Linked DNA regions of Struthio camelus. The protein of the gene in region 4 interacts with the protein of the main gene of each other region in a pairwise test. Links are inferred from orthologs where the notes say so. Each region holds a gene or a part of one and is shown on either strand. Other genes may lie near its edges. The genes, in order: SHMT2, ACSF2, SUCLA2 and ARL6IP1.

Evidence for each region.
Region 1: the proteins of ARL6IP1 (region 4) and SHMT2 interact in binary tests that used the Homo sapiens proteins (3 or more experiments, as listed by UniProt). The two-hybrid records come from large-scale screens. The link is inferred for Struthio camelus from reciprocal best matches to the Homo sapiens genes ARL6IP1 and SHMT2.
Region 2: the proteins of ARL6IP1 (region 4) and ACSF2 interact in binary tests that used the Homo sapiens proteins (3 or more experiments, as listed by UniProt). The two-hybrid records come from large-scale screens. The link is inferred for Struthio camelus from reciprocal best matches to the Homo sapiens genes ARL6IP1 and ACSF2.
Region 3: the proteins of ARL6IP1 (region 4) and SUCLA2 interact in binary tests that used the Homo sapiens proteins (3 or more experiments, as listed by UniProt). The two-hybrid records come from large-scale screens. The link is inferred for Struthio camelus from reciprocal best matches to the Homo sapiens genes ARL6IP1 and SUCLA2.

Annotation. Positions count from the first base shown.
Region 1 is NC_090969.1:174,286-181,196, forward strand, and holds the start of SHMT2 (serine hydroxymethyltransferase, mitochondrial), read right to left. Parts: upstream 3,017-6,911; 5' UTR 2,947-3,016; coding exon 2,923-2,946; intron 2,327-2,922; coding exon 2,126-2,326; intron 2,035-2,125; coding exon 1,955-2,034; intron 1,702-1,954; coding exon 1,501-1,701; intron 1,398-1,500; coding exon 1,316-1,397; intron 1,019-1,315; coding exon 896-1,018; intron 733-895; coding exon 593-732; intron 304-592; coding exon 138-303; intron 61-137; coding exon 1-60. Other genes in the region: NXPH4 (neurexophilin-4), read right to left, coding at 4,617-5,381. UniProt on the Homo sapiens protein: Catalyzes the cleavage of serine to glycine accompanied with the production of 5,10-methylenetetrahydrofolate, an essential intermediate for purine biosynthesis.
Region 2 is NC_090960.1:7,767,418-7,775,146, reverse strand, and holds the start of ACSF2 (medium-chain acyl-CoA ligase ACSF2, mitochondrial), read left to right. Parts: upstream 1-4,726; 5' UTR 4,727-4,731; coding exon 4,732-4,814; intron 4,815-7,729. Other genes in the region: LRRC59 (leucine-rich repeat-containing protein 59), read right to left, coding at 1-137, 673-732, 1,136-1,252. UniProt on the Homo sapiens protein: Acyl-CoA synthases catalyze the initial reaction in fatty acid metabolism, by forming a thioester with CoA. Has some preference toward medium-chain substrates. Plays a role in adipocyte differentiation.
Region 3 is NC_090942.1:192,086,131-192,093,972, forward strand, and holds the start of SUCLA2 (succinate--CoA ligase [ADP-forming] subunit beta, mitochondrial), read right to left. Parts: upstream 3,006-7,842; 5' UTR 2,847-3,005; coding exon 2,757-2,846; intron 963-2,756; coding exon 779-962; intron 1-778. UniProt on the Homo sapiens protein: ATP-specific succinyl-CoA synthetase functions in the citric acid cycle (TCA), coupling the hydrolysis of succinyl-CoA to the synthesis of ATP and thus represents the only step of substrate-level phosphorylation in the TCA.
Region 4 is NC_090956.1:10,492,317-10,499,854, reverse strand, and holds the start of ARL6IP1 (ADP-ribosylation factor-like protein 6-interacting protein 1), read right to left. Parts: upstream 3,002-7,538; 5' UTR 2,920-3,001; coding exon 2,884-2,919; intron 738-2,883; coding exon 604-737; intron 1-603. UniProt on the Homo sapiens protein: Positively regulates SLC1A1/EAAC1-mediated glutamate transport by increasing its affinity for glutamate in a PKC activity-dependent manner.

The DNA.
Region 1 (6,911 bases), on a different chromosome or scaffold from region 4:
CATGGCTTTGGCGTTCTTCAGTACCTGCTGGCAGTACTGGTGGAAAGCAGGTGAGCTGGCCTGGGAGGACAGACTACGTCAACAGGGGCACCCACGTCACCTCCCTAACCCCGAGCCCAGTGCCCCCCTACACACACCTGTTTGAGGGCCACAGCCACTGCAGCAATAGCATGGTTGTGTGGTCCTCCTTGCAGGGAAGGGAAGACAGCAAAGTTGATCCTGTCCTCCAGGTCATAGTGCATCTCCTTGCCCGTCTTCTTGTCTACCGAGCGCACGCCCTTGCGATAGAAGATCAGTCCTGACCTGTTGGTGAAGAGAGCGTTCACAGGCACTGCTCCACCCTTGTGTCTGCTCAGCCCCCATGAAGCCAGTAGCAGAGGACTCAGCCCCTCCAAGGGGCAGTGACCTAGACAGCTACCAGCCCTCCTCAGGGACTCCCAGGGCATTATCCCTTCTGTCCCAGGACTGGGTTGGGGGTCTGCCCCATAGCCAGCCCATGAAATAAAAGCACTGCTTCTACACCCCCCTGCAACCACCCTGCCTGTGAACAGGCATCTTCCCGCTTGGAGAGCGAGGCAGAACGCATCCTCACCTGGCGCCACGCAGGGTCTTGTGGGTGGTGCTAGTGACCAAGTCGGCGTATTCGAAGGGCGAAGGAATGACCTTGGCTGCGACCAGCCCGCTGATGTGTGCCATGTCTGCCAGCAGGTACGCCTTCACCTCCTCGCACACCTGGGGCACACAGGGCATCAGGCAGTCATAGACACCCCCTATCCCTCCACCCCGCCCCACCCCACAGCCAAGGACAGGATGCGATCAGCCTCGCACCAGCCACAGGAGTTCCCCGGCACCCCCAGACAGGGCTGGGGGAGAAGAGAGCTGGGCTCCCCCATACCTTCTTCATGCGAGCGTAGTCAATGAGGCGGGCATACGCACTGGTGCCGGCGATGAGGAGACGAGGACGAAAGAGCCGCGCCGTTTTCTCCAGCTGGTCGTAGTCGATCAGCCCTGTGGCTGGCTGCGAAGGACAGACGGACCAAGACCAGAGCTGGCAACTTGCTGGGGCACAGAAACCTCCCAACTGCCCAGCTCTGAGCAGAGAGCGTTTGGGGCCATGGCAGGGCTGAACCACCAGGGTTCCCAAGCATCCTGCGACACACGGCTACGGTTCGCACCGAGTGGGTGGGAAGGAGGCAGAGGAGATGGTGGAGTGGCAGCGCCTGCACTGAGGCACCCAAAAGGCCCCTGCTGAGACAGGGGGTTCGGCTAGGAGATCCCCCCTTTCCCCGGGAAAGTCTGCCCCCCCTCAACTCACGTCAAGTTTGTAGGGCATTGACTCAAAGAAAATGGACGTGGCTGAGATCCTCTTGATGTCCGACATGTACCCGTGCGTGAGGCTGTGGAGGAACGGATGGATATGCAGGATCACATTGGGCCCTGGAGCAGGTGCTCACCCCAAAAGGTGGCAGGCCCCCAGGCCGCCCCATGTGCAGTACGTACTGGCCCCCGTCGGGCAGGTCCAGCCCCATGAGGCGGTCATGGGGCTGCAGCAGGGCTGTGTAGGCAGCAAAGTTGGCTGGAGAGCCCGAGTAGGGCTGAACGTTCACTCCCCAGTGGGCTGGGTCCAGGCCGAACGCCTCCAGCGCCCGCTGCTCGCAGAGCAGCTCAATCTGGTCCACTACCTCAGCTCCCCCATAGTACCTGGAGAAGAAGGGAGCAGGTAATGGGGTGCTTCCCACCCAGGGAGCTGCCTGTGCCCCACAGGTGACCACAGCGGAGGGGACAGCCCTGCTCTGAAACACACCTGGTGTCCTGCCGCTCCCCTTCGTCTTTGATGTAGTGGGACGCAGGCTGCCAGAAGGCTGCTGATGCCCCTCTAGCGCCCTTGCTGCCTTCCGTCCCCCAGGAGCTGCCCAGCCAAGCCCAGACCCCACATCCCTCCACCCTCCGTTACCTCTTGCCAGGGTACCCCTCTGAGTATTTGTTGTTGAGGCAGGAGCCCAGGGCTTCCAGCGCCGCCCGGCTGCAGAAATTCTGGGGGAAAAGCGGGTCATACAGGGCATGCTCAGCCCCCACCTGAGCAGGGGCCGCCCCAGGACCACCAGCGCTCCGCTCCGTGCCCCACCTCAGAGGCAATGAGCTCCAGCCCCCGGCACTGCCGATCTTTCTCCTTCTGGACCAGGGCCCACATCTCGGGGTCGCTCTCTGCCAGGCTCTCCTGCCCCGTCCAGCCAGGCGCGCTTCCAGCCGCGGCGGCGGCGGCGGGGACACCGCTGTGCTGCGCCCGCAGGCCGCCGGCACCCGCCGGGCTGCATCGCCACAGGGCCTGCCCGGGAGAGCCGCGTTTGGCAGGCTGCGCCGCCCCCCCTGCCGCCCCCCGGGTACCCCCCGGGCGCCCCCCGCTCCAGCCGCCGGGCGCTGCCCCCCGCCCGGGCTCCCGGGGGCACCTGCCCGCCGGCGGCTGCAGCCAGGCAGCGGCCCTTGGCCCCGCCCCAGGCTGCGGCCGCCGGTCCCGGGGGCAGCGCCGGGGCCTCCCCCGCCCGGGGCTGGGGGGCGCCGGGGCGGAGCGGGCCGGGCCCGCCTGATGCAAGCGCGGCCGCCCCGTTGCATCATCCGCCGGTGGGGGGGGGGGGGGCGAGGGCAGCCCCGGTGCCGGCCCGGCCCCCCCCGCCGCTGCCAAAGGGACTTTGGGACCAGGCAAAGTCTGCGGGGGGCGCGGAGGGGGAGGGGGGGGCGGGGGCGGCCCGGCAGCGCGGCTCGAGCCCGGCCGGCACCGGCACCGGCACCGGCACCGCGGGAGCTCCCGGCGGGACGGGACGGGCTGCGGGGCCGCCCCGCTCGGCCCGGTCCAGTCCGGCCCGGTCCGGCCCGACTCCAGCCCCGGCCCCGCGCCCCCCGGTACCGGTGCCGGCTCCGACTCACCCTGCCCAGGCGGAGCGGCCACATGGCGCTGCGAGCTCCGCGCGGCCCCGCCGGGTCCCGGCCCCGGCCCCGGTCCCGGTCCGGTCCGGTCCGGCCCCGCCGACGCCGCGCGAGCGCTGCCGGGGGCGGGACCGGGGCGGGGCGGGAGCGCGGGGCCCGTCGGGAAGCTGGAGGTCTCGCCCCCGGCGGCAGCGGGCGCTGCGTCCGTCCGTCCGTCCGTCCGTCCGTCATCCATCTGTATGTCCCCTGCACCCCATCCCCTGCGTCCCTGCACCCCTCCATCCCTGCAGCCTGTCCCCTGCACCCCACCGTCTGCACCCCTGTACCCCCAGCCATCCATCCCCTGCACTCCGTCCCCTGCGTCTCTGCAGCCCAACCCCTGCGCCCCATCCGTCCATGCAGCCTTGCACCCCATCCACCCCCTCCCTGCACCCCCATCCCCTGCACCCCCACCCGTTCATCCCCTGCACTTCGTCCCCTGCATCTTTGCACCCCAACCCCTGTGCCCCATCCGTCCATGCAGCCTTGCACCCAATCCATCCCCTCCCTGCACCCCATCCCCAGCACCCCATCCCCAGCACCCCAACACCCCATCCATCCCCTCCCTGCACCCCATCCCCTGCACTCCATCCATCTCCTCCCTGCACCCCACTGTCTGCACCGCCGCCCCCCACCCGCAGCACCCGGCACCCCGCCGGTGGGGCTGCCCCCCGGCCTGGCCCAGCCTGGCCGTGCCAGGCGCTGCACAACGCCCAGCCCTGGCAGGGCAATGGCACCCGGGCTCCCAGGAATCCGGCCTCGCGCCGGCTGCGGACACCTGCCAGGCGTCCGTCACCATGGGCGGCAGGCACCGTCGGTGTCACCGTGCTGGCCATCATGGCCTTCGGCATCAGCACACTCCTCAGCAAGCTTTCCAATTTTTTTTAATTGTTTTTTAATTTTCCACTTTTTCATTTTGATTTTCTTAAAAAAATATGAAGAAGTCTGCCCAGAGCTGGGTGAGAGCAGGGGCTTGTACGTGCCGAGCCCCGAGCCCCAGCCCCAGGCACGTCCCTCTTCACCGCGGGGTTGGCTCGGCCGGGGTCGGCAAGCAGGGGGCAAATCTGGGCGGGAGACTGCAAATTTGGGCTGTTTTCTCCCCAGGTGGCAGAGGGGGAATCTCCAAGAGTTGGTCTGGTGCCCGATGTTCCCCCCGGCCTGGGTGCTCCCCGCCAAGGGGAGGCAGAGGGGGCTGGGGAAAAGCTCCAAAATACCCGGGACGGGTGTCCACACGCGCACAGGCACCCTGACTGGCATGCACATGTGTGGCTGCACATGCAAACACATAAGGGTGCATACAGGTGTGCACGCGTGCATCCGGGCACATGGAAGTGTGTACATGGGCATGCACACACAGAGGGGTGCACTAGAGTGTGCACACATGCATCCACATGTGCACACACATGCAGACCTCATACAGCTGCAAAAACAGGATACAGCTGCATTCCCCCCCCCAGCTGCAGCCAGCTGTGAGCATGGCCACATGCCAGCGCCCACCCCCTCCCCCCCCATCACAAGCCAAAACCTGCCGCCAGCCCGGTGCCCACGGTCACCCCTGCCTGCCACCCCCCCCCCCCCACCCCGCTGCAGGGCCGGGTGCGCGAGCCCGCTCCGGGACACCGGCATGGCCTCACCACCCCCCCTGCCCGGGGCCGTCAGCCGAAGTAGGGGTTGTCGTGCTGGAAGTTGTAGTCGGGGCAGACCTTCTGGACCAGCTTGTAGTCGATGCTGAGGAAGGAGATGAAGATGCAGATGACCTTGAAGGGCTTGGCGCAGAGCCAGGCGGCGTGGCTCTGCGTGTGCTCGGTGAAGCACACCTTGGAGGGGTCGTAGAGGCAGGGCTTGTTCTTGCGCGCCCGGTTGGTCTTCTCGTACTCCACGTGGCAGTTGAGGGCCTTGGGGCGGCCCTGGGGCAGGGTGCTCTGCGGGGGCGGCGGGTGCGGGAGCGCAGCGGGTGCGGGCACCAGCACCTCGAAGCCCACCGCCTTGGAGGGTGGCACGATGCTCACCGAGACGTTGCCCAGGCTGGAGGAGTTGTGGCGGAAGTAGACGCTGAAGGTGCCGTTGATGTGGTCCACAATCTTCCCTGTCACCAGCAGGCTGAACTTCAGTGTCTTGATGTTGAAGTAGAAGTCGCCCCAGCCGAAGATCTTCTTGGCGCGGGCGGCCTTGAGCGAGGGCTTGCGCCGGGCCCGGGGGCTCGGCACCCCACCGGCCGTCTGGTTCCTCTGCCAGTCCCAGGGGCCATGCGCGGCTCCGGCGGGCTGCCCCGCACCCTGTAGCAGCTCACCTGGCATCAGCCGCCCGGGCTCCAGCATGGGGGGCTTCAGGCTGCCGTAGGGCACGTCCTTGAGGAGGCCAGAGGTGCCCAGCTCCAGGTAGCCCAGGCTCTTGGTGATGTGGCCCTCGGCACAAACCATCTGGGGGGAGATGGCAGAGGCTGCGCGAGCCTGTGCCCGTCACCCCTGCACTCAGCCTGCCCGGCCCCCCGGCCCCACCTGCGCTCGTGCCCCCTCCTGCGCCTGCAGAGCCCTTGCACCCACCATGCCCCCCGCTGCATCCACGCACTGCTCCTGTGCCCACGTGCCCATGCACCTCCTCTTGGAGCTGTGCACTCCTGCCTGCATGCACCCCTCGCACCCACCACGCGACTCTCTGCACCCGAGCGCGCCTCTCGGACCTGTGTGCTCCTGCAGTTACACATCCCTCCCGCACTTATGCCCCCCTCCTGCGCCCGTGCCCGCCTCTGGGACCTGCGCGCTCCGGCGTCCACCCAGCCCTCCTGCCTGCTCTGCCCCCTGCACCCATGCACGCCTCCTGCCCGCGGCGCCCCAGCCATGCCTGCGTCCAAGCGCTGCGTCGCCCTGCCCCGGCCGCCCGCCCGTCCCTGTGCAGCCCTGGCCGGGCCCTCCCCACGTCCGCGTGCCGGGGCTGCAGCAGCGCCCGTCCCCGTGACAGGGAGAGGCAGGACAGCGGGCAGTTCATTACTGCCTGCCCCGCCACATCCAAGGCCTTTTGAAATGCCGGGGCTGGGGGAAGCTTGTGCGGAGAGGCGAGGGCAAGGGGGAGGCAGGCGAGCCCCGCGCCGCCTGCCAGGGAAGCCTAATTGCATTACGCAGCGCCTCTGATCTGCAGCTGAAATTACAGAGCCCCCGCCAGGCTGCACGGCAGCCGCTCCTCCCTGCCGGGTAATTGCACCGGGGCAGCTGCAGCGCAGGCTGCGTTGCTTGCGCAGGGCGTGCACGAGGCGAAGCGGAGACCCTCGCTCTGCTGGGAGGCGGGAGTCTGGGGGCGCTTCCCACCTGCTGCCGGGGCAGGGAATTAGCCGCGAAAGCAGAAAAGGCGGGTGGCAAAGGGGGACGCGAGCGCTAGACAACCGCAAAGCCCCTGCACCGGCAGGGCGGCCCGGGGGCCCCTGGACTGGAGCCAGCGGCAGGCAGAGGCAAGCGGCGGTAGCCGGAGGCAGGCAGCAGCGGCCCGGCCCCACGGCCCCTCCAGGAGGAGGTTTGGCCGGTCCCACTGCCAGGACAGGCACCAGGCAAGCTGGCAGTGGTGCGCAGGGCCAACAGGCGCCTCTCCAGCCCCGGCGGACGCGGCCCCCACCTGCCTGCCCGGCCGGGCCCCCCCCGCAGCTGCTCCCGGCCCCGGCCGCCAACGCCGTCCCGAGCCGGCAGGCGTCCGTCCGGGCACGGCGGGGACACGCGGAGGGCGTGGAGCGGAGGCGCCGGTGGGGTTGTGCCCCAGGGGAGAAGCACTTCAGTGCTGACTCCAACCCGCCAACCCGGTGGGGCTGGAGGGAGGAGCCGGGCATGGCTCCAGCTGGCCATTTCTGCAGTGAGCCCGTCAGGTCTCATGCCATCAGCGCACGGGGCCGTGCACCCTACAGAAGACAGAGCAGCACCCTAGGAGCCTGCCTAGCCGCAGGGCACCGGTGCTCACCCCCGCTGAGC
Region 2 (7,729 bases), on a different chromosome or scaffold from region 4:
GGCAGGGTGACTAAACGGTTGTTCAGAAGGTCCAAGTGCTGCAGATTGACCAGGCGGCCAAAGTCCAAGGGCAGTTGTTGAAGCCGATTTTTACTCAAATCCAGTTTCACCAGATGCATCAAACTACAGAAGTCCGACTAAAACCGAGACACACACACACACACAAAAGTAGAAGCAGCTTGGCATCACCTTTACAAAGGAACCCCAGCTGAGAGTGTGTCGAAATATCCTTCACCTTATGTGATAAAGCCATAATCCTTAACACAAAACTGTGTGATGGAGGAAAATCACCCTCTTCCTCTGCCTTGGAAGACAGAGGTAGAAAACAGTGGGACACCCCTGTTTCCTAGACAAGGTGATATGCCGCAATATATCTGAAACAAAACTGAGCCTCTATTGCTGATGAAAGTGGTTTGTAAAGTTGCAGGGATCCTTTGGCAGGGAAAAGGATCTTCAGCTTTTTCTCTCTTATTGCATTATGCCTGCCTCAGTAAAAACTACCATTAATACTAACCCTTAATTGATGGTTTTGTCATTCAGCCAACCCAGGAATGAGAGAAGTGCTAGTTCTAAACCTCCTACTGAATCTCTATTGAAGGACTTTGTTTTTTTTTTAAATATTATTTCCTAACAGATTTGCCTCATCTCCACAAAGGCTCCCTAGCATCTTACCGGCAGAGAAATTAGGTTATTACAGGACAAATCCAATATAGTAGCTTTCGGAAGGGCAGCCTGAAAGAGAAACAAAGAATTAGATCAAGCTATATATATATGTATATATGTGTATGTATGTATACACAACAGTGACGTTCTAGCATGCTGGTTTTGTTTTGTTTTCTTCCACGCCAGTTTGCGAACTCCTCAGCAGTTGCCACCGAGATGACGTTTCATCTTAATTAAGCCCTGGTTCACAATTCTGGTTTTAAAAGATACTGCTTCGGAAATGGAGCAGACGCTGAGGCTACGCATCTAGCTCGCAGAGCCCGAACACCCTCGTCTCGGGTATTTTAAATGCCTGCAGGCCAGGTGACGAACAACTGCCGCTGCGGTGCGCAGCTCGTTCGCTGCAGCGGGAGACGCTAGCGGCGCCTCTTGAGGCGCGGAGCGGCGGCCGCGGCCGCGGGCGGATGCTCACCAGCTCGCGGACCGGCACCTCGCTCAGGTCGCACAGGCTCAGGTCCAGCTCGTTGCCGTCCAGCTTGTCCTTCAGGTTCACCCCCTTGGCGGCGCCGCCGCCGCCGCCGCGCGCCATGGCGCCCCCCCGCCCTCCGCGGCACCGGGGGCCGGGCAGGCGGCTGCCGCGGGCGGAGGAGGGCAGCGCGGCGCGGCCCCGCCGCCGCTCCCCGCCAGCCACTTCCGCGTCCACGTCCGCGCTCGGCCCGCCAGCGCCGACGAGCCGCCCCGCGCCCAGAGGGGCGCCGCGCCGCGCCGCGCCTCGCCGCGCAGCGCGCCCCCTGCCGGCCCGGAGCGGCCCGCCGCCGGGCTCGGCGGCCCCGGCCCATCGCTCCTCCCGACGCAGGCAGCCGCTGCACCTCTCCTGGTTCCTGCCCTACTCGCTCGGTGATTGCAAGGTCATCGTCTGACCAGTGGCCTTCTCTTTGAAACGTTTGAAACTGAGCAGCGTGCTCTAGGTGACGCTGCTTGAGCAGGGGGGCTGGACTAGATGATCTCCAGAGGTCCCTTCCGACCTCGGCCGTTCTGTGATTCATATGCAGAGAATAAATAAGATGTCTCACTGCTACCCCACAGGCTGGTCAGATTTACACCTTGTCATTTCACCGTTCACACTATGTCCCATGAAAAACTAAGCCTTTAACGAGCAGTAATCCCAATATGAACACAAAACCCAATTCATGCATGCTTTCTTTACAAATACTAGACATTGTTGCTTCCTGCTCTTCATAGCCTCCATAATTACTGAGTGCTGGACTGGCTTTTTGTTGGCTTATACCAAGATGTCTCTCTTTACCAGGAGGAATTTGCAGTAATGTTCCTGCTTTGATCTGGAAGCTCGGATACAGCACAATCAAAGTGTTCTTTCACCTTGACTGACCCACTGTTGAGAAAGTCAGTGAAAGAGAAAAGCAGGCTGAGGGAGAGCCAAATTAATATTACCCAGTAATGGGATTGCAGTGAATGCTAACCTTGAATTTTTTGACCCCTATGCAAAATGTGATGCACTGGACCTTGCAAAGATGTTTCTAACTAGTTCAGCACATCTACCCCATGGATACTTTTGAGTAGGGTTTTTAAGCTGTCGCTAGGTGTCTTAACAATGCTGAGATAATCAAGATCTCTGGAGTCTCTGAGCAAAGGCACCACAAAATAGCAAACAAGGATCTGCCACAGAGTCTAATAAAGGCTGCCTAAGATCAATGCACTCTCATTCAGGAGATTAGAGAAGTTGCTAGGAGCAGGTTATTGTGCCTCCCACCGGTGACTGAAATTGCAGAACTCACACTTGAGAAAAGCGAGGTCTAGTTATGCAAGAATCTCTCTCTTCCCTCAGCTTTTCAAAACAAGGTTTGAAAGGCCAGAGGAAGACTTGAGCCAGGGACCGGTGGGGAAATCTCGCATTTCCAGATCTCCCACCATGGGCACCCAAGTGAGGCAGTCAATTGCCTCACTCCCATGTTAGTCAATGTGGGACTCACATGTCCCCTGCCTCCTCCTCAACCTGATAGGCACCATGGCCGTCTTAGCAGGGGCATACACAGTCCTGCTCCTGAGGGCAAAACTCGCAGGCGTTTTGAGGAGACCTGAGGCAGATCTTGTACCTGTATAGAGAAGGCCTTTGTATGTGGAATGCTGCAGATGACTGGGAACGTCTGAAATCTAGACCCTTGTAACTTCTGCATAATTCTTGGTTTAATATGTATCTGGGATTCACCCCATAGGCTAATCCTCTAAATGTGGGAAGATCAAACTGAAACTCAGCTTTATTTTTGTTTATTAAAGGTGGGGGTTTTGGATCACTTTTTTTTTTTTTTCTTCTCGTCTGTGGTTATACAACACCGAGCACACTTTGATGCTGTTGCAATACAAATAAATGTAATTGCACTGTGCTTCGCCGAAATAGTGAAGGGATGACTTTTGGCCATGAACGTCAGATGGCCTTACATCATTTACACAAATCCATAAACTCTCCTATCTGTTGATTTTAGTGGGACTGGCACATGTCAATATATTTACCTGGGCATGTCTAAAAAGTCTTAGAACCTACATGAGACAGAGAAATCAGGGCATATTTGTTCACTTTGCAGGAGGAAGGATGGAGGGAGAAGTAGGGAGAGGAATTGCTGAATGAAGCTGGATGAACACTGTCAATCTAATTTTTGGCCCTGAGTGCCTGAGAAGATTCCCAGACTCTCTTCACAGCGCTGACCTGCCTTGCCCAGTGTCCCATGTGCAGCCATGGCCAATTTTTCACTCTTCAAAGTCAAAAATCTCCCTTCCCCCAACCAAATAGAACGCTATCACGGCTGCCACCAAACAAACTCATCTTGCCTTGTGAACAAGATATGTGTCAGGGGAAAATCCCTCCCGATTCTAAAACCAACTATCTGAACCGTGAGGTTCGGTTATGCAGTCAGCATTTTACTGTGTGGCTGTTATTTATAAGCGTATTTTTGGCTTTGATGTCAGGGATACACCAATTCTGAGGCCAAAATTGATATCCTTGTTCATAAGCTCCATTGTAATAGTCATGGGATAGACACACTGTAAAGTGTCTCTCTGCTGAATTCTAGCTTCCACCTAGGCAGACCGAATTAAAAAGAGCAAAGAGCTGCAAAATAACTAGCCAAAGATCACATTGCAAGGTCAGTAAAGGAGCCAGAAACAGAGCCCGCATTCAGGCTAGCGCCCAGCTGCTAAAACTCCTTAGTGAATGCTTCTATGGTATTTAAAAGGTGTACACTGTTTTCTGAGATCCACTTTATCCCCCGGCCCTTTCATGGGAATTAATTAGCTTTTTGCCATGGTTGCAGGCAATGCTGGGAAAGGGTGCCTGTCATTTCACACTCAGAACAACGCGTGCGTCACCCGTTGTCCCTCAGTGTCAGCGCTGCTGCATCGGAGGCAGCGCTGCTCCTGCGCCTGGGTGCTCGAGGGAGCTGAGCGCCGCAGCGCTCCTCGGCCGGGCGCCTGCTCCTGCCCTTCCCGCGGGTGAGGGCAGCTCAGCCTGCCCCACTGGGGAGAAGGTGTGCAGGTCCCAGCTGGCCTCTCCTCTCACCAGAGCAGCCCGCTGGGAGAAGGCAGAGTTTGAGGCTGTTAGGTGGTACCCGCGCTGGTGAAGTGGATGGGGCTCAGGACTCCCAGGGGCTCAGGCATCAGGCGATGAAGATGAAGGAAAGCAGAGGGGACGGGTGCTGGCCGCCTGGACAGCGAGCCCGTTTCATTCCTCACGCCGAGGTCCGCGTCAGCCAGGCTCACAGGGTTCATTCGGGCCACACGGAAAGGCCCTGGCTGGGGTGCAGCATCTGGGGCTAGGCAGAAAAAGGCTGCTGGGGCAGCCCGGAAAAATAAAAGGAGTTAGCGGCAGGGACGGCCGGCGGGGCGCGGGGCCGGGCTCGCAGGAGCCCCGCGCCCCCTGCCGCCCGGGGGCGAGCGCGGGCCGAGGCGGGCCGCGGCGCGCACCGCCCCCGCCGCCCGCCGCCGCTGCGCCGTATAGGGCGGCGCGGGGAGCCGGCCGGGCCCGCTGTCGCCGCCGCCGCCGCCGCCGCCGCCCGCATGGCCGCCGCGGCCCGCCTCGCTGCGCTGCCCCGCCGCCGGCTGCCCCTGCTGCGCGGGCCGCGGGGCGCCCGGCCCGGCAGGTAGGGCCGGGGCGCTGGGCGCTGGGCGAGGCGGCGGCTGCGGGGAGCGAGGGAAGGGGGACTCTGGGGACAGGGGGAGGGGGCTGTGGGGAGTGGAGGCTGTGCGTGGTGGGACGGGGGGCTGGCGGCGATGGGACGGGGAGCTATGGGGGCAGAGGCTGTGGGTAACCGGGGATGGAGGGCTATGGGGAGTGGAGGCTGTGTGTGGTGGGATGGGGGGCTATGGGGAGTGGAGGCTGTGTGTGGTGGGATGGGGGGCTATGGGGAGTGGAGGCTGTGTGTGGTGGGACGGGGGGCTATGGGGAGTGGAGGCTGTGGTGGGATGGGGGGCTATGGGGAGTGAAGGCTGTGTGTGGTGGGATGGGGGGCTATGGGGAGTGAAGGCTGTGTGTGGTGGGATGGGGGGCTATGGGGAGTGGAGGCTGTGTGTGGTGGGACGGGAGGCTGTGGGTAACCAGGGATGGGGGGCTATGGGGAGTGGAGGCTGTGTGTGGTGGGATGGGGGGCTATGGGGAGTGGAGGCTGTGTGTGGTGGGATGGGGGGCTATGGGGAGTGAAGGCTGTGTGTGGTGGGATGGGGGGCTATGGGGAGTGAAGGCTGTGTGTGGTGGGACGGGGGGCTATGGGGAGTGGAGGCTGTGTGTGGTGGGATGGGAGGCTGTGGGTAACCAGGGATGGGGGGCTATGGGGAGTGGAGGCTGTGCGTGGTGGGATGGGCTATAGGGGACAGAGTCTGTGGGGACAGGGGATGGGGGGCTCTGGGGACAAGGGATGGGGGACTATGGGGAATGACAGAGAAACCATGTGTGATGGGATGGGGGGGCTGTGGGGACAGGAGACAGAAGGCTGTGGGTGACTGGGGGTGGGGAGCTATAGGGCCTGGGGGTCTATAGGGCAGGTTCAGAGTGATGTGGGTACCCAGCCAGGTGAGTGCCACGTGCAAACAGGCCAAAAACAGCTCAGGGGTGCTAGAGGTTTCACTCTTTGCATGCTTTGCTGCCTCTTGGCTCCCATAAGATCCTTCCAAAGTGGCAAGAGACAGGCTGCATCCCTTGGTCTGACCCCCAGGCCTGGTGGGGCAGGGACCAGGGTCAGGGACAGTTCCTGTGCAGCATGCAAAGAGGACATGGACATGTGTCCTGGGCTGAACTTTCCTCGTGTGACAGCTTAATCTCAACGGCAGTCATGTGAAATCGCATATCAAATAGCTTTTCCATCCCCCTTTGCCGCTCCGACTTATGGCCTTCTCCTAGCATTGTCACTGCCGTTGTGGCCATGCAGAGGCTCCCTGGGGTGCAGCTGGTGGTTGGGTGACGTGGGGCACTGGGGTGGGAGCAGGTCTCAGCCACTGAGGAGCTGCAGAGCGCTGGGGTTTGGGGGATCCAGCCAGTTCTTTGCCTTGCCTTTGTTCAACATGGCCTCCTGGGAGAAGGTGGTGGGAAAGGACAGTAGCAGAAAAATGCCTGAGTTGGGATGGGAGAGGCTTTGGAGGATTAACTGGCATTCCAGATAACTCTGTCCAGGGAGGTTTGGTTTCCAGGGAGTAACTCTGCCAAGAGCTGTAAGGAGCAAATCTTGCTTTTCACATGCAGCATCTAGGTGCTTGTTTTCAGCTGGGGTTGAGATGAGGAGTGAAGTGGTTGGTGCCCATGTGGAGCCAAGACTGCAGGCCCAAAATCTGTTCTTATGAAACTGTATCAAGAGGCAAGGCGGTAAATTCATTGTAGTTTGGACTGCAGCCCAGAACTGTAAAAAACTGAGGAGCAGGAACACAAAGTATTTGCATTAAAAAAATCAAATGTGGGGGCAGGGCACGCTAAACTCTTGCTCTTTCTAGTAACAAAAATGTTTCTTAAATTCTGCTCTTAGCAGCAAGCAATTCATCCTTTTGGCAGGAGGAGTACAGAAGGGAAAGGGGCTTAGTGGAAAAAAAATGAAAAAGTCAACTGGAATCCAGCATTTGAAAGCTCTGTTAAAGCTCTGGGAAATCTACCATTCCTCAATCCAAAGCAAAAAAAAAAAAATATCTATATATATATATATATAAAATCAAAATCTGGTTAAGTCTTTCCTACAAAAGGTTGCTCTAAAGAGTAAAGAAGAGGTAGAGATAGAGCTAACAGGGTTAATTTCTGCCACCCTTTTATTGCAGTTTTTCCAGTCCGCTAGGACCACTCTCTCCAGTCTCCTCTTGTTTTTTGGCAGCCACATTGGGGGGAAATGGGCCAGACCAAATTTTTTACCTATTAGTAGCTGTTCCCTTGGGCCTGAGTCCCCAGAGGAGCTGTGCAGGACATGAAATGCTTCTGTTTCCTTGCTCCCAATGCAGCAAAGCGCTGAGTGTGATCTCAGCGTCACTTGGGGAAAGTGCTCTTTTGCAACTAGGCCAGCAGTTGCTCTCTGAGTGCTCTAGCCTCTCCTTCCCTCCTCAAGACCTGTAGTGAACTCAGCGTGGAAGGAAGCAGAGACTTTTTTTCTCTTCCTGAGCTGGTGGATGGGGAGAAACGTGCGGTACTTAGGGACAGATTCTGCTTCCTCTGCAACTGGTGGTGACTTGACCTTTGCTTTGGAGAGGTGAGAATGTGCCACTCTCAGTGGAGCATCTTTGCAAAGTTGGTGGCATTGCCAGTTTCCTCAGCTGCCTTGGCACTGAGTGCTGCTGTGAGTGACTGGAACTGCTTCTCCAGAGCCTCCCTCCCCACAGCCTTTGGACAGTGGCTTGTCTGGTCACAATTTCAAATAGCGTAGGGTGTGGCAGTGAAAGACTGCAGTGTTTTTTGTGGCTTTCCCAGGAGCATTGTTCCTTGTCTTGGATTAGCGAGAGTTTTGCAACCTTTAACAAAGGCTTTTCTTCTGCAGAGCCTTGTTTCATCTCCTAGTTTACTTATGTGCCCTGCCCAGAAGCTTTCACACAA
Region 3 (7,842 bases), on a different chromosome or scaffold from region 4:
GCAAATCAGGAATTTAGCATATAACTACAAGCCAAAGTTCTTCCCTCCTGCAAGAGGGGAGTTGTACTCTGCCAGGACAGCACATTCACAAAACAAAAGGATTTTGTCCTTCTGCAGTGTAAACGTAGGTATCCTTTGCATCCTCTGATCTGTGGGAGTTCTGGACTAGAGAGGCCTTACCTACCACCACCATTGAAACTAGTCACACAAGATTTCCTGTAATCTAGCCTGAGATGGCAAATGTAGGATTTGCCCAAACTAAAGCGCATTACACATCTCAAAGAAGTCTTGGTACATAGAACAATTTATACTCGCCCCATTCTCTCAGAATACATTCCTTCTAAACAAGAATCAAAAGTTACAGAAAAAGCATTTGCAAAGTTTGGGGTATGGGAATGACGGTGCCTCTAATATATCTTCACATCCTTCTCTGGAAGGAGGGTCAAGTGTCTCCCAACCTGACCATCAGGGATGGAGAAGAGCTGATAAGCCATTCTCGATGCAAAACGAAGAGTGCACTTACACCTAGGTTGCTTAACTGATTTCATTGTTTGCTTGTGCACTGTGCTATCTTAGGCGTTAGAATACTTCAGATTAGGAAAATGTCAGTATGTAAATACTCAGATGTGCAAGGCAGTTTATGCACAGGGAAGGCTCTCTTTAACAGAAGGTATATTCAGAACTCCAAGAAACGTCTTACCAGGAAAGACATAAAAAGTAGTCACACCTTGTATCAACTCCCATACCTATATTGTATATGTTCTCTTTAGTATAATACCTATTTCTTTTGCTATGCTGTAAGCTTCTTCTGGTGTCCTTGCAACTACTCCATGTGGAACAGAAATGCCAGCCTCCTGCAACAGTCCCATGCTCAAGTATTCATGTAGTGACAGCCTCCTTTGTTGCTGCTGTTGCACTTGAAACCCATGATTATTGAGTATTCCTGGACTTCCACCAAGTACCTGAAGGGGGGAAAGAAAAGAATCAAACACCATGATTGTATTTTAAACAAATCATTCTCTTTCTTTAGATTAAAAAAAAAAAAAAGTCTATGTATTAAACAAGTACAGTTTAGTGTACCAGCGCAAACATCTGAACACTTAGTCCTATGTTTCTTGTACATTATCCTTCCACGTTAGTCATTCACGTTAGGTCTATGTTTTCGCTGGGGCAGAGCTGGGGCAGTTGCTAGCAGCAGCAAGAGCTGGCAGGGTTAACACACCCTTGAGTGTTTAGTTACTATTTGAGTACTTCAATGAATATATCTATAGGGAAAAAAATCTTCAGCAAGTGCAGAAGCATAAGAGAACAGAAGAATTCAAATACTAAGTAAAAGAAAACATGCCAAATATTCAGTCCAGGAAACTCCAGTGTGGAATAAGTGATTGTTAACTTCTTCTACAAAACTGATGTACAGGACTGTCAGAATTTTTGACTGGGTACTTCGTGTAGAGCAAATCCAAGGAGAAATCAATTTTGATTATAAAACACCAGAACATACTATAGTACTATATGCACAATGCCTCTTAAAAGAACAACTGCTCATGGACTTTAAGAGAGAGATTTCCAAAACATACTTTGTAAAGTAACTGTATTTCATAACAAAAAAATTACCAACCACAACAGTCACAGATCTGTGTGGCATTTTATATTTCATTGTAAAAGAATATGACTTAACTTTACATATATACAAAACATTAAACTTATTGAATTCAACCAATTTTTCTACACTGATTAGAGCCGAAAGATTAAAGGTATAAAGAGTATAAAACAGACCTGAATACAAGTAAGGCTTTATCTCTGATTAAAAAAAATATTATTGGGTAGGAGGATCACCAAAAAAAAAAATCAATCTCTACTAGCAAATTTCTAGTAGACTAGATTTTATTTCATTTTAAATATAATAAGTATGCAGACAACACAAGATCCTTACTATGGCATTTCAGGCTAGCAAATCATCAGAACCTATTTAACCTCCGAAGGATTCCTTCTGCAAGCAGCAGGCTCTTTTCTTGGCATCAAACCCAAACGAGAGGTGCTGACTGCTGTAGCTGCTGTTTCTGGAGCTGACTGACTGGCCGAGCCCTCAAAGACTGCAGCGTAACACGAGAAGGCAACTCACAGTGACCTTCCTCCCCTGCCGTAGGGGCAAGGTGGAGAGAGTCGCACAGAGGGTTATACGCTTTAGACTCACTAGCTCTCTTGTATTATTTGCCACGGGTGCTGTAGCCAAGAACGAGACCACACTCCGAAGAAGGATTCACGGGAAACAAGACCAGGCCAAGACCAAGAGGACTGCTAGGCAGAGGCGAGCTGGGAGAAGTGCGTTTACTGGCACACCCCGGTTTCGCGTGTGACTCGCGTGACGGCAGAGATAGAAATATCGGGAATTTAAAATAAGTTAGGAAAAAAAAAAAAGGGGGGGGGGGGAAGGAAACGGGAACCACCCGGGGAAGACCTGCCGCAAGCCAGCACGGGGCAGCAGCGGGGGCACGTAGATCAAAGACGGACGGATGGACGGACGGCAGCAGGGAGGGGAGGGGAAGGAGCGGGCAGCCAGCCCTGCGCCGCGGCAGGGCGGCGGCGGGAGCGCGGCGAGCCGCCCCCAACGGCCGCTCCCCGCCACCCCTCACCGGCGGCGACCCCAACGGCGGCCCGGCCCGGCCCGGCCCGGCCCCGCCGGCCCCGCTCCCGCCCTCCTCTCCCGCTCCACCCCGCCCCGCCCCGTCTCCCCGCCGCTCCCGAGCGCCCGCTACCTTCGCCGTGGCGGTGCCCAGCGCGGCGGCGCGGAGGCCGTTGCCCCTGAGCCCGGCCGACACCCGGCTGCAGATCATGGAGGCCGCCATGGCTGAGCCCCCTTCGCCCTCAGCTGCCCCTCTCAGCGCGCATGCGCTATCATCGAGAAGGTGGCGGGAGCAGAGGGAACGCGAACGGGGCGGAGGAGGAAGCGCTCGTGCCGCTCCTTTCCTCAATAACAACCGCCCGGGGTGGGGACTCTATGGTCCGCCTCGGCGGCCGTGCTGCCCCCTGGCGGGGAGGACTGCGGCAGACAGCGGGGATGGGGAGGGGACATGGGGGTGACCGTGTTTACTCTGAAAACACTCCTTCCCCCCCCCCCATATTTTAGGGTGTCTTCATACAATAAATCAAACAAATCAACGGCTAAACTGAAGACCCAATTTTTTAATACATAACTATTATTTTGAAAACCATGTTTACTCCCCCCGGTCTTGGTACAATGGTGCCAAAAAATAATTTCTGCCTCACACAGCTTAAAGGTGTGTGTCCGCTTTTGCAAATCAGCGTGCATATATTTACCCCGGTGACCTTGAGTCATTTCACTAACACGCTAATGCAGAAGACAGAACTCTCCGCAGAACCTAGGGAATAAGTTTGTGACTCACAAGGAAACAATGCTTTTTCTTTAAAAGAAAACATTATTTAAGGCAAACTAGTGGCCTGGGAAGCCAGAATGAGAAAACTTCTCTACTGACAGTAAATAAGCAGGAATAATGCAGTTATTTATACACATAATGAATTTTAAAGCTAGATCTAATCTTAAGGAAAGCAATGCAGAAGTTGTAATTTTAACGGGTGTTGTAATTGGAATCACCCAACAACTGGTTAGGTTACATTTTTTGTTCTGAAACTGAAAGCGTGCTACAATAGCTTTCCATTAGGCAAGTGCTGGAAAAGATATGGTAACTATAGTTCAGTTATTTTGCTTCTGGTCCCCCGCTGTCTTGGATATGCTTGGATATGTCATTATTTGTTAAGATTGCAGCGAACTCGGTAGAGCGCTTAGATATCCACCCGCTCTGTTCAGACATTCCTGGTATGAGCACATTTATTGAACCTGCAATAAATGCAAAATTTTGATAGACCCTCCAAAATTTCCCACTGTAGCTGGTAAAATCTGAGACATTTCCTTGGTAAACAACTTCTCTGTGCCAGAAAAAAAAAAAACAACCACCACCATTCCAACTTCGTGCTCTTTCTATGCCAAAACACCTCTCGGCTGTACACAACGTGGCTCTTCTCAGAACACCAGGCTTGCCAGTGGCTCTCTCACAGGGTAGCGCTTATATGTCATTCCCTCCTATAAGCTCCAGGAAATTTCACAACTCGTACTAGGAATCTCGCATCCGGAGACTCTCCAAAATGGCTCCCCCTCCTGGAAATAAAAAGAAAGCCTAGGTAACAATGAAACAAAGTTGCAAAGACAGTGGAACAGACTTTGGCAAAACTTAAAACATAAAGAGGGCCACCCAGAGCTACAGAGCTATGGAGACTGGAGATCAGGAAACTGGGCTTACGTCCTGACTCCTTTGCTGCTGCAAGAAAGTCAGACAAATCTCACCGAGCTGGTACTTCGTACTTACCTTTAAAAAGTTACAAGACACTCAGAGTACAATAACTACCTATATGAAGTACGTTATTATTTTCACTAGGGACGTACAGTGAACTTATTTTTCCAGTTACGTTGCTTTAAGATGAAAATAAGGGTTTTGTCTCGTACATCAGAAGAAGAAACGTTACATTTTCTTACAATATTACAGGATTTCTATAAAGGTCATGGCAGCTGCTGCCATTTTCCATAGTATGATAAACAGCCGCATGGAGAGCTCCAACTATTTGGACATCGCACTGTCTTTTTTCCTTGTTAGCTGTCAGATCTAGTCTAACCAGGATTTGTTCTAAGAATGCAAGAATTTGTGTCTTTGCTTTCTGCCTGATCACCAGTGCCACCATCTGGGCCAGACCGCCAGTACAAGGTGGTCTGGAGTTAGGCAGTTCAAACCATAAAAACATCAGTTCTTGGAAATTACAAATCCACCTTTTCTTTGCTTCCTTAGAGAAATAGGGAAAGATAATGATCTTGAGTACGACCAGGTGAATTGCTAGTAACTCCAGTTAAAGTAACTCAGATTTGCACAGGCTCAGCCAAGTTCAATACCTGGCCCACACCCATGGAGAATGTACAATTTCAGGACAGGTGAATGTATTGTAGGATTGTGATAGGTATCCATATATTTGGCCACATCCCCAGAAACATTTAAATATAGATTCCTTCCTTCTTATTCTAAGTTTAAAATGTTGAGATTTCTTGCTAAACTCAGAAAGAACAAGGATTTTTAACACAGGACTAAGGCCTTCATAAGCCCTTTCTGAAGATGCATTGAAATCTATAAAGAAGAAGGGAAAATCCAAGATGCAAATAAAGCAGAAGGAACACAGAAGTTTTAACAGAGGTCCAGCTGTCTGAAACCAAATAAATCATCCCAGAGGCTCAGGTGTTACGAACTAGATATGCATTTGCTTTATTATGGATTTACTATGTCTGCCGTGAAAAACTGGTACACTCTGACATGCTTCCCTTCATAGAAACACCATCCACCTCGTAAGCCCCACCAGGCACCGTTTAAGTGGAAAAACATTATGACAGTGGGTCTTGCCAAGGAGGTCATCTATGTGAGAAAGCCAAAGCCTTTGCTAAGGCCATGAGTTTAGAGGGCAGAAAATTTCCAAGAATGAAAGGAGGGATTGAATAGGGCCTTCAAAAGCATCCCAACAACTGTGGATGAAGCTGTACTGTGTTTCTAAGATCCCTTTAGTTCAAGGGAGATAGGAAGAAGGAGCTCACTTTCTTAGCATGGTAGGTGAATAAACTGGTTTAGCTGCAAGACCAGCCAAGGTCAGGGGGAAAAAACTGACCTGAAGCAAAGGGAGAAAATCCTGCAGTGGTGTCTACGTTCCTTTACAGAGCAGGTCTTGCAGCCAGAGTATTCACTCATGCTGGTCTGCCTGCTAATCCTGACCCATAAGCTCTGAGCTAGCCCCTCAACCATCCCCAGGCAGACCTCCTTGCACTCCCATGCACAGGGCAACTCCCCCTCCTCTGAAAGAGCCTGTATCCATCCATCACAGCATTCCAGTCATGTGAGCTATCCCACGATGTCTCTATGATCCCAATGAGATCATAGGCACTTCCTTATTTACATACATTGAGGTGATTCTAGTTTAGTCTTCTTTTGTTGATTAAGAGGTCCCTTCCGCTTATGTACAGTTGTCTGTGCTTGAAGAGGACCCCATGGTCATAGAAACGGAAATCTTGGTTTCTATGCAAAACCAGCTATGCAAGCAATTGTTGACCTGTAAGATCTGTTGCACCCTCCTCAGACCCTTCCCCCTCACTGACAGGACTGAGGAGAACATCACCTGGCCCCCATGCCCTTGACCATTACCCCCAGAGCCATGTAGCCATATTTGATACTTTTCAGGTCTCCCCTGGTTGTATCGTTGGTGCTCACATGGAAGAGTAGCAGAGGGCAATAGTCGGAGGGCAGGATAAGCCTCAGAAACCTCTCCACAACATCCTGAAAGCAAGCTCCTAGCAAGCAGCAAACTTCCCTAGATGGCAGGGCAGGTCAGCAGACAGGGGCCTCCAACTCCCTCTGAGCAGGTTCCAGTTATTCTACCCGTCCTTGCAATGACTGTCATATAGAAAAGACAATCCAGTGTCCTTCCTTGAAGACGCTCGAGTCTTCCCTAAAAGGATTCTGTCATTTTCACCTGTCCTTGCAACAGGCCTTTGTAAGCAGTCTGAGGTCTGGATGAGCACAATTGTCTACAGGAGACAATGCAAACATTAAGCACCAGCTCACCATCTCTGCCAATACAAGAAGCAGGAAACATCAAGGGAGGCTAGTAGGTGAAAGGGTCAAAGCAAGCAAAAGGAGGTGATTCTTCATGCAGTGTATAGTTAGGCTGTAAAGTGCCTTGCAGACCTCCTGCAAATCATGGAAGTTTACATGGGCCCAAGAGGAGTCTTAATAAGTTCAAAGAAGAGAAATCAAACGAGAGTTAGTGAATACACAGACACCATACTTGCCTTGAGAAGTCACTGAGACACAAATAGTTAGAGGATAGGAGAGTAGTCAAGAGCTACATCATGTTTTCTTGCCTATTACTTTCTCCACTTTTGATCACAAGGCACTGACCTAGACGGATTTTTGTCCTGAACTACTATAGCTGTTTTCATATTCTTCTGTTCCTAAGTGCCCTGGAATTGAGTACACACAGGAGGTTTATAGAGGCTGGGAAGCAATCCATCTTTGCCAGCCTATGAGTTGCCCAAGGTCACTTAAAAGCTAGTGGCAGAGCTGGAAATTAAACAGGGAGCTGTCTCACCACCTACAGTCGTTCTGATGACACAGTCTTATCTGTTCACACCAGAGCAAAGAAATAATGGACAAGCAATGAACACACCTTCCCTCGACACAGCATGGCTCCAATTTGTCCTTGTTACTTTACTGCTCTTGCATATGCACACCATTATTCTCTATGAGCCACTGTAAAGATTGTGACCGCTGTAGGGACAGGAGTATATCTCGATGAAAAAGGGTACTCTTAATGGAACCAGCACTAATGTTAATTCTAGCACTACTATAAAAAAGAAAATTCTAGTCTCAAAAAAGTGCAGTAGTTCATGATAGTCAGTGAAGGTTATAAGACTCAACTTTTATTTTTGCTCAGCTAGGCCCTTTCTAAACTACAATATTAAAAGCAAGGATTTTCTGTTCTGTGATAAGGATCTAGGCAGTGCAGAAAATCTTACAGCTCTCAAAATCCAATAAAAAAAGATAATGAAAAAACACTGTTTGGAGTTTAATATGAAGCCAGGATTGTGGAGAACTATGCAGAACATAAATTTATAATAAAGGTAAGGTCAGGGCATAGGCAAAGGTAAAATTACTTATTACTTTGGAAACTCTTTCTTAAGTAGAAGGATTGTCTGTGGAACAGTTTCAGCTGCAGGTGGCAGATTGTTATTTCTTTTAA
Region 4 (7,538 bases):
AGTGCAAGAGCCAGTCTGAAAGTACCAGTTGTGTGAAGATGACTGAATTCCGCCTAAACACCATGCCAAAAGTGCAAAATTGCTAACATTTCAGAGAAGTTGGCCCAATGGGAACAAGCTTTCTGTCATAACTTAAGACCATAATAGCATTGCTGTTGGCTTAGGGAAAAAAGCCACAGAAGATAACCAGATCTGACTAAGTAGCATACAAAGGGTGAGGGTTAAATACGTATAAAAAAAAGGGAACAGCATACAGCTGAAGGTGCTAAGAAGCTACAGCAGTCATCCCTGACAAACTTTTCCAGAAAACATCACCTCTCCCCTCACCCCCAGCACTTTTTTTTTTTTTTTTTTTTTTTTTAAGAAGTCTATAGCTAAGACATTGAAAGGAAGTACAAGATCTGAGTGGGATGAGAGAGGTGTTAGTTCTTGTTCCCAGTTCTTTTTTTCTTTTCAAGAAAGTTAACATGCATTAAGGAACAGAACTTGGAGTAAGAAAGCTTCCCATTAGGTTTTTAAAGAAAACGTCTTAGTAGTTTTCTTAACACTTCTGCCACTAGCCATGAGAGCACAATGCTGGTCTATGCTCCATGAGCTACTTACAGGAAAGAGAAGGAAACAACACTCATCAGTGCAAGAGGAAACCAGGCTCTCTCCCAGCGAAGAATTTTATCAGTCATCAAAATCACTTCTCCCCATCCTTGCAATTGCTCTTCTAAGCTAGCAGTTTCTGCAGCCTACACAAGAAGAGAGAAGAAAACTTGTTATTACTAACCAGAATATCACACTAGCTCCTGTATGTGAAGTATCTAAAGAGCATATATTAAATAAAGACTGCAGTCACAAATCCTTCTGTGTATTTACATTGCTAATGATGTTGTAAATTGCCTACCATATGATGACACTGTAGCAGTGACACTTTAGCATAAAGTCAAGACTCCAGCAAAGTAGCAGCAACTCTCAACTCAGTATATTAATTGGTACAAAGACTGAGGCAACTCTCCAGTTCACTTTATGCACTTTGCTATATATATTTTCCAATGATTGTTTAACCATATGCATGTTCCCATTCTTCCTCTCCTTCAAAGCCTTTTTTTTTTAAAAGAATTACAAAACCTGTTAATATAGAGCCTAACAAAAAGTATTCTTCTATAAAGCACTTATGTCATATCCCAAATTGTCTATTTCAGTTTTCCACAATTCAGTTTCCACAAGTTGCCCAAGACTGTGACAAGGGGACCTTTACACTCCTTCCTACACCAGCAAAGGCATCACATTATGCAATTGCTCTCAGCATATCTTTTGGATCTGCTCCAGCATAAGCTGGCTGAGCAGCTGGCCCGAGGAGTGCCAAATTTACTAGTTTGCCCTCAGCGGGACAAGAGATCTCAGATTACAAAACTCAAGTAACCACAAACAGAACAGACTATTTCCTACATAGCAAGAGGTTAAAAGTCATCAAGATCTGCACATCTGCCGTGCAGAGATGTCACAGCAGGTTTAATTCTCCAGTGGATGATACACTTACCTCAAATGAGAAACCTGACACCATTTCCCAGGATAACAGAGAGAGCTGCGTGCAGCTACCATGGTAAAGCACAGTTCTCTTATACAATACCATTGTAAGCTATTTTAAAACTACACTTACAGACAAAATAGAGTGGATAGCTATCTACCTGATATGCCTTCGAGTTATCACATCTATTTCATGTTTTATAGAATATAAACCCCCATAAAAATGGAAAAAAAAAAAAGCTGCATTTCTCCAGAAAGCATTTTACAACAAACTGTTTTTCTTTATTACTTCCAGCTGTCTGCCACTAACAACACAGTCAAAAGAAAATTTAATGGGAAACAGTTTGGAATATAACACAGCTGGTAGTAGCAGTCTGCCTCTGTCAGCCTATGAGTACTGTAACTTGTTTGCCCACAGGGCCAGGTAGAAAAAACTTACTATGTCAGTTTTGTCAACAGCAACACTATTTAATTCCAAAACACGTCCACCAAAAGTGATTTGTCATTAACCAAAGAACATTAAGTTTCCAGAAACATGAACTTCCATTCTGAAGGGGGCATCTCTCTAGACCATAGAACATGTTTTTGGCAACATAGATCTGTTTCTTTTTCCTTCTGAAATTTAAAGTTTCTTTCCACTTCTAAGCTACTGAAAGAAAGCATCAGTTCTGATTCCCTCAGTATCTCCTAACTGTCCAGCTTCCTGTTCAAAAAAACATTAGTAGGCACTCCACTCAAAAGTCTCCTTTCTTTCACCCCTTCAGCCCCACGCTTTTACAGCAGTCTCCCCAGCACCCGTTGTTCATCCATAACAGAGACGGACACAGTCACACCCTTGGCCAAGGCCACCTTTTACGTGCTTTAGTTACATTAATTATCCAGCTCCTGTCACTATCTTCCTGCACCTTTTAAACATCTAAAACATAGCCAAAGTATGTCGAAACATGAAGATATGAACGTTAAACGTAAGCCTTGCACATCAGGTAAAGCGAGGCATTATTACGAGGCTGGGAGCAGCACAGCAGCAGCAGTGCCGTTTCTAAGCGCGGCGCAGAGCTGCCCTAGTCGAACTCAGGCTCCGCCAGGCCCGAGTCCATCCACGCACGGCAGCGGCAAGGCGAGCGCGGAGCTCACACCGCTAAGGCGGCGGCCGCCGCGGCCAGGCCCGGCCAGGCCCGGCCCGGCCTCCCCGACCCTCTCCCCCGGCAGGGCCGAGCGCGGCCGCCAGCCAGGCCGCGGCGCGGAGAGGCCACTCCGGGCCCACCGAGGCCCTTCCCCAGCCAGCGGCCTCGCCACCGGCGGGGGTTGATGGCCCGGCGCCGCCACCGCAACACCCCGCCGGCCCCGGGAAGGAGCGCGGCCCCTCACCAGCTGGTTGCTGCTCTTATTGTCGCCCTCCGCCATCTTGCGCCGCCCTCGCGCCGCCGCCCCCGACCGCGCCCCGCGGCGCCGCGGCGGCCGCCGCCTCTTATAGCCGCGGTCCCCTTCCCCGCCCCCACCTCCCGTCAGACCGCGGCAGCTCTGCCCGACATCGCGATTGGCCGGCTCGAAACGCAGCGCGAGCCAATCCCAGAGCGCCGGCCGGGTCTCACCGACGGCCGGTTGGCCGGTGGGAATTTGAATAGAGAGACTCAACCAATCAGCCTGCGGCATCCGCCCCTCCCCCACCCCCCCCTCCGTCGCAGTGCGACTGCGACAGGAGCGGCCGTTAACGGCCCGGCCGCCGCAGGGGCGGCGGCGGCGCCTGGGCCCGGCGGAGCCGGTCCAGAGCGGTGCAGGGTGCCGGGGGCCTGCGCCCTCCCAGGCGCTGGGCAGCACGCTGGAAAGCGAGGAAGCTGCTCAAGGGCCAGAGGCGTCCTGGGGACGGCAACCCAGCAAAAGCGCAGTCAACATCTGAGACGTAACTGCAGTGTTGTTAATGCTGCTTAGTCAAAAAATAATTGTCTGGGCTCAGTACACACCACACTGATTTCATGGTAGAGGCACGTGCAATGTGTTAAGCAGACGTTTTATTTAGCCGTCTTAATCCCTGTCCCCTTAAGACCTTCAAAGGGAATCTGTTTTTATTTTTAAAAGTCTTAGCCCTATAACATAAAAACGGGATTATCAGAAGGTATTAAGTAAAAGGCTTCTCAATGTGCTTTTTTAAAATGTTACCTTTGCTTGTCATATATAGCATGTCTTAAGAATAGTACTGAAAACGTCCAGAATGTTTCAAGACTACTAAGTACCCTGCTGCAGCTGAAATGTCAGAAATGTCACCAGAAGATCTCACTAACAGAAACTTTAAGAAAGTTGGCATGTCTTTAATAGCATATATATTTAAACTGATTGCCTTTGACTAATGTGAAACAACCAGTATGTCACCTCTAAGAAAGCTAAATCCAGTTGCAAGAGATGCCTTCAAGATTACCACACAGGAAGCAGATGAAATAACCCATAGCTCCCTGGAAGTTGCACTAGGTCTGAAAACCACAACTGACCTAGGCACCATAATTACCACCAGGAGTCTAACAACTTGCTTTAATTTTTTCATAAGCTGTAGTAGCACAGGAATAGACATGGGAGAAATGCACTAGGGTTGTTTTTTTTTTTTTTTTTTCCCGACTCAATGTCCTAATACATGCATGACTGACACATTTATGAGCTTAATCACAGCCGCTAGGATGTAACGCAACTCCAAAGCGAGGGGCAAAAAAAAAAACAACCAACCAAACAAAAAACCTGCATTACTCTTCTTCCACCTCTTCACCTCGATTCACGAACTTGACACAGAGCAGAAAGGGGACAGTGCTAGCTTTCACCTGTCTTTGATCTTCCAGAATCTTGAATGACTTTGAAGAGCACTATAAGGAATAGATACTTTACTGAACAACTTTCAAATTAATTTACTTGCCGTTCCTAAAAGCTGAGAATATCTTTGTGTATAGTTTTGCTCTTACCTCAGAAACGTTGGGTTCCACCCTCAAAATCCATTATTGCACTACAGCAAGCCTCAAACAAAAAATAATTTCATAAGAAAGTGGTGTCAGCACCAATTCTGATGAAAGTCTTTTGAGAAAGCAACGCACTGCGCTTCTACTCGTGACCATGCTGTTATTGTCGCAGCGTCCTCAGTAGGGCCAGCCAGCCAGCTCCTACTTTCATCTAGTTGGATGATTTTCACCACAAAAACACAGCAGTCATCAATAAAAAAAGCAGATGTTTTCTATCATCTCCATCCCCACCGCCAGATTCATTGATCTCCCAGGTGGTCTTTCAAATGCCAGTTCCCAAATGAGACTACAGCTCCAGCTTTTCTCCTGACCCAGTGGACCCACACAGGTCTCCCTCCCTTGCGTAAGTGCTCTTCTGCACCTGGGGTGGGGAGGGGGAAGGGCAGAGTGGGTCTCCCAGGACATCCTCGCTGTCCAGGAAGAGCATCAGTTCGGGCTCGTGCCCTAGAGCAGAGAACGCAAGAACATCAGGCTCTGCCAGGCCGCTCAGTGCTCTCCTGTGTGAACAGCCAGGCCATGAAGCACGATGCAAATCCAAAAAACAGGTGCATGTGTGTGCATACATGTATGTGTATAAATATAAATACAACATTTGTTAAAACTCCTAGTCCTAATACAGGACTAGGATACAGCGCTATCAGTAGCTCAGAGTGTGGAAACCCAGTCAGGCAAGTCTGTTCTTCACTTCCCACACGTTACCTGAACTAATAGAAAACCAGTTGTTTCCTATATGCTTCTACATATCATGCAGATAGTGCTGCAAGGTAGAGGCACTGTTCATACACTGACATTCTCACACACAGTTTGCAGCAAGCTTCAGACTTGCTCACCCCTTCATCACCCCTTCATCACATGGAAAAACATAATAAATGCATCTAAAAATGTTTTTCCCTTATGCTATCAACAAAAAGACAAAGCCGGATAGAAGTGAAAAAATGATCTGATTAGCTACACACTTAGGTACACACAAAAGTAATTTAATATTTAACATTTATCTAAATTTCTTAAAAAAAATGATATTTCACTAAAATGCTAATAGTGCACTCCTGAATAGGTATTTTCCACTAAAGAAAAAATATAAACTGCATATGATACTTGCGTACCCATGTGTTTAAGAAAGCAAAAGCTAGATGAATGGCAGTTCATCTTAAATGTTTTTTCCTAGAATGATATTTAATCCATAGAGGGGCATGCCTGCTAATTCAGAAAAAGCTTGCCAAAAAAGGGGAGGGGCAGGCAAATAAACTTTTGAAGCACCTGAGCGTGCTAAAACAGCAAGGCCAAATGTACTAGGTACAGTACACTGACGAAAGGAAATGGATCTTCAGGACCACAATGTTTACAAAAATTAAGCTTTAACTCTTCAATCCCCTCCAGTATTTTTGGCATAACATTTGTATATGGTGCTTTTCCTTGAGAGATCTCAAAGCAGATAACGTATTTATCCTTTGTTAACTGCTTTGAATAGAAAGCAGACAGCTATGTGGTTATTGCAGGGGCTGCGTTCACGGTCACTGTGATTCCCACTGTGGAGTCTGCACAATGAAGCATGCTTGTTTCCCAGGCAAGACGACATAGCACTAAGTCTCACCAATGATTCTACAGAAACCCAATTCAAAGCCTTCTCCAGTCAAAAATGAAAAATGTTTTTCTCCACCTGCAATGTCTCAAAACTCTGATTTATATAACAGACTTGAGTTTGTTACAGATATTTGAAAAATTACAGACGAAAACATTTTAAAAAGAATAATCACCGAATGCAAAATTGGATGTTAAGAAGGAAAGAAACAGATCATGAAAAAAGTACTGCAAAGCACTAAAAATTCCATTACTGTAAGTATTTGCTACGATTTCAACTTGAGTTAAACTAACCTGACATGCCACTGAAGACTCATTTGCTTAGGCCTAAACACACTGCAATAACCTATTAGGTAAAGCAGTGCTTCTACCCTGATTTTAGAGAAGGGGAGTGGGAAGATAGACAAACTAGTAACTGGAGTCCCAGAAGGCGAAGAATATCTCAGCCATTAGACTATACAGTTGAAAGGAGGCAGCAACTTAAAACTGCTGCACCCACTTCAAATTTGACTGCAAGGAATTCATTTATAGCATGATCCCTTGGTTAAAATTCACTGCAGGTGAGCATCATGCAAAAACACTGCCATCAGCTGAACAGTTCAGCTTCTATTACTTCAGTTGATTTACGTGTGTGTACGAAGATTTTGATTCTAGATTTGCATTATTCTAGGTTTTGTTGCAGCAACAAAGTTGATGTCTCAGTTTTACTGAAATAAAGTAACTTTATGTCTTTACAGGAAAGAGATTTGTAAAGAACAGTCGTCTTTAACATGCAACACGCATGCACAAAACCTGCTTCAGAACTCTATTTTAGGTTTAACAAAGACTGAAAGAAAAATGTGTTTTTGACTTCAACACATAAAAGCTGACAGTCCCACAAACTCCTGAACAGGTAAGCTGTCTCCTTAACATTACACACTTAATTCTGCAGAATCCAGTCCTAATCTGGGATTTATGTACTAGGCCTTTTATTCTTCCTCATAATTTTCAAAACCACCAACAGTTTTGCATAAAAGGAAAATTATGAATACAATTTTTTTTTAAAACTTTATTAAATTATGCAGTAAAGAACCCATCTCCACACAAGTGTTTCATTTCTGGACAGCAGAGGTATAATACATGAGCCACAGGTGAGTGCATTACCCCTCCCTTCCCCCAACTTCCAAGAAATAAAACAGCATGTATAATACACTCTTATTACTATGGTACTCCAAACAGATTGTTCATAAGGTTATTTTTAACTGGAGAAAAAGTAAAAAGGACCAACAGTGTAAAGTGTCTTGTTCTGCACATGAATGTTCTTCACTGCAACATTCAAACACCTTCTTTCTTGCAATACATGGCATGGCAGAGGGTTCAGGAAGCAATGACAGTGGAATGCATTTGCACGAGTATCATTAAATATAAAGCCTGTGACTTCTCTGGAGTTAATCAGACAATCAGAATGCA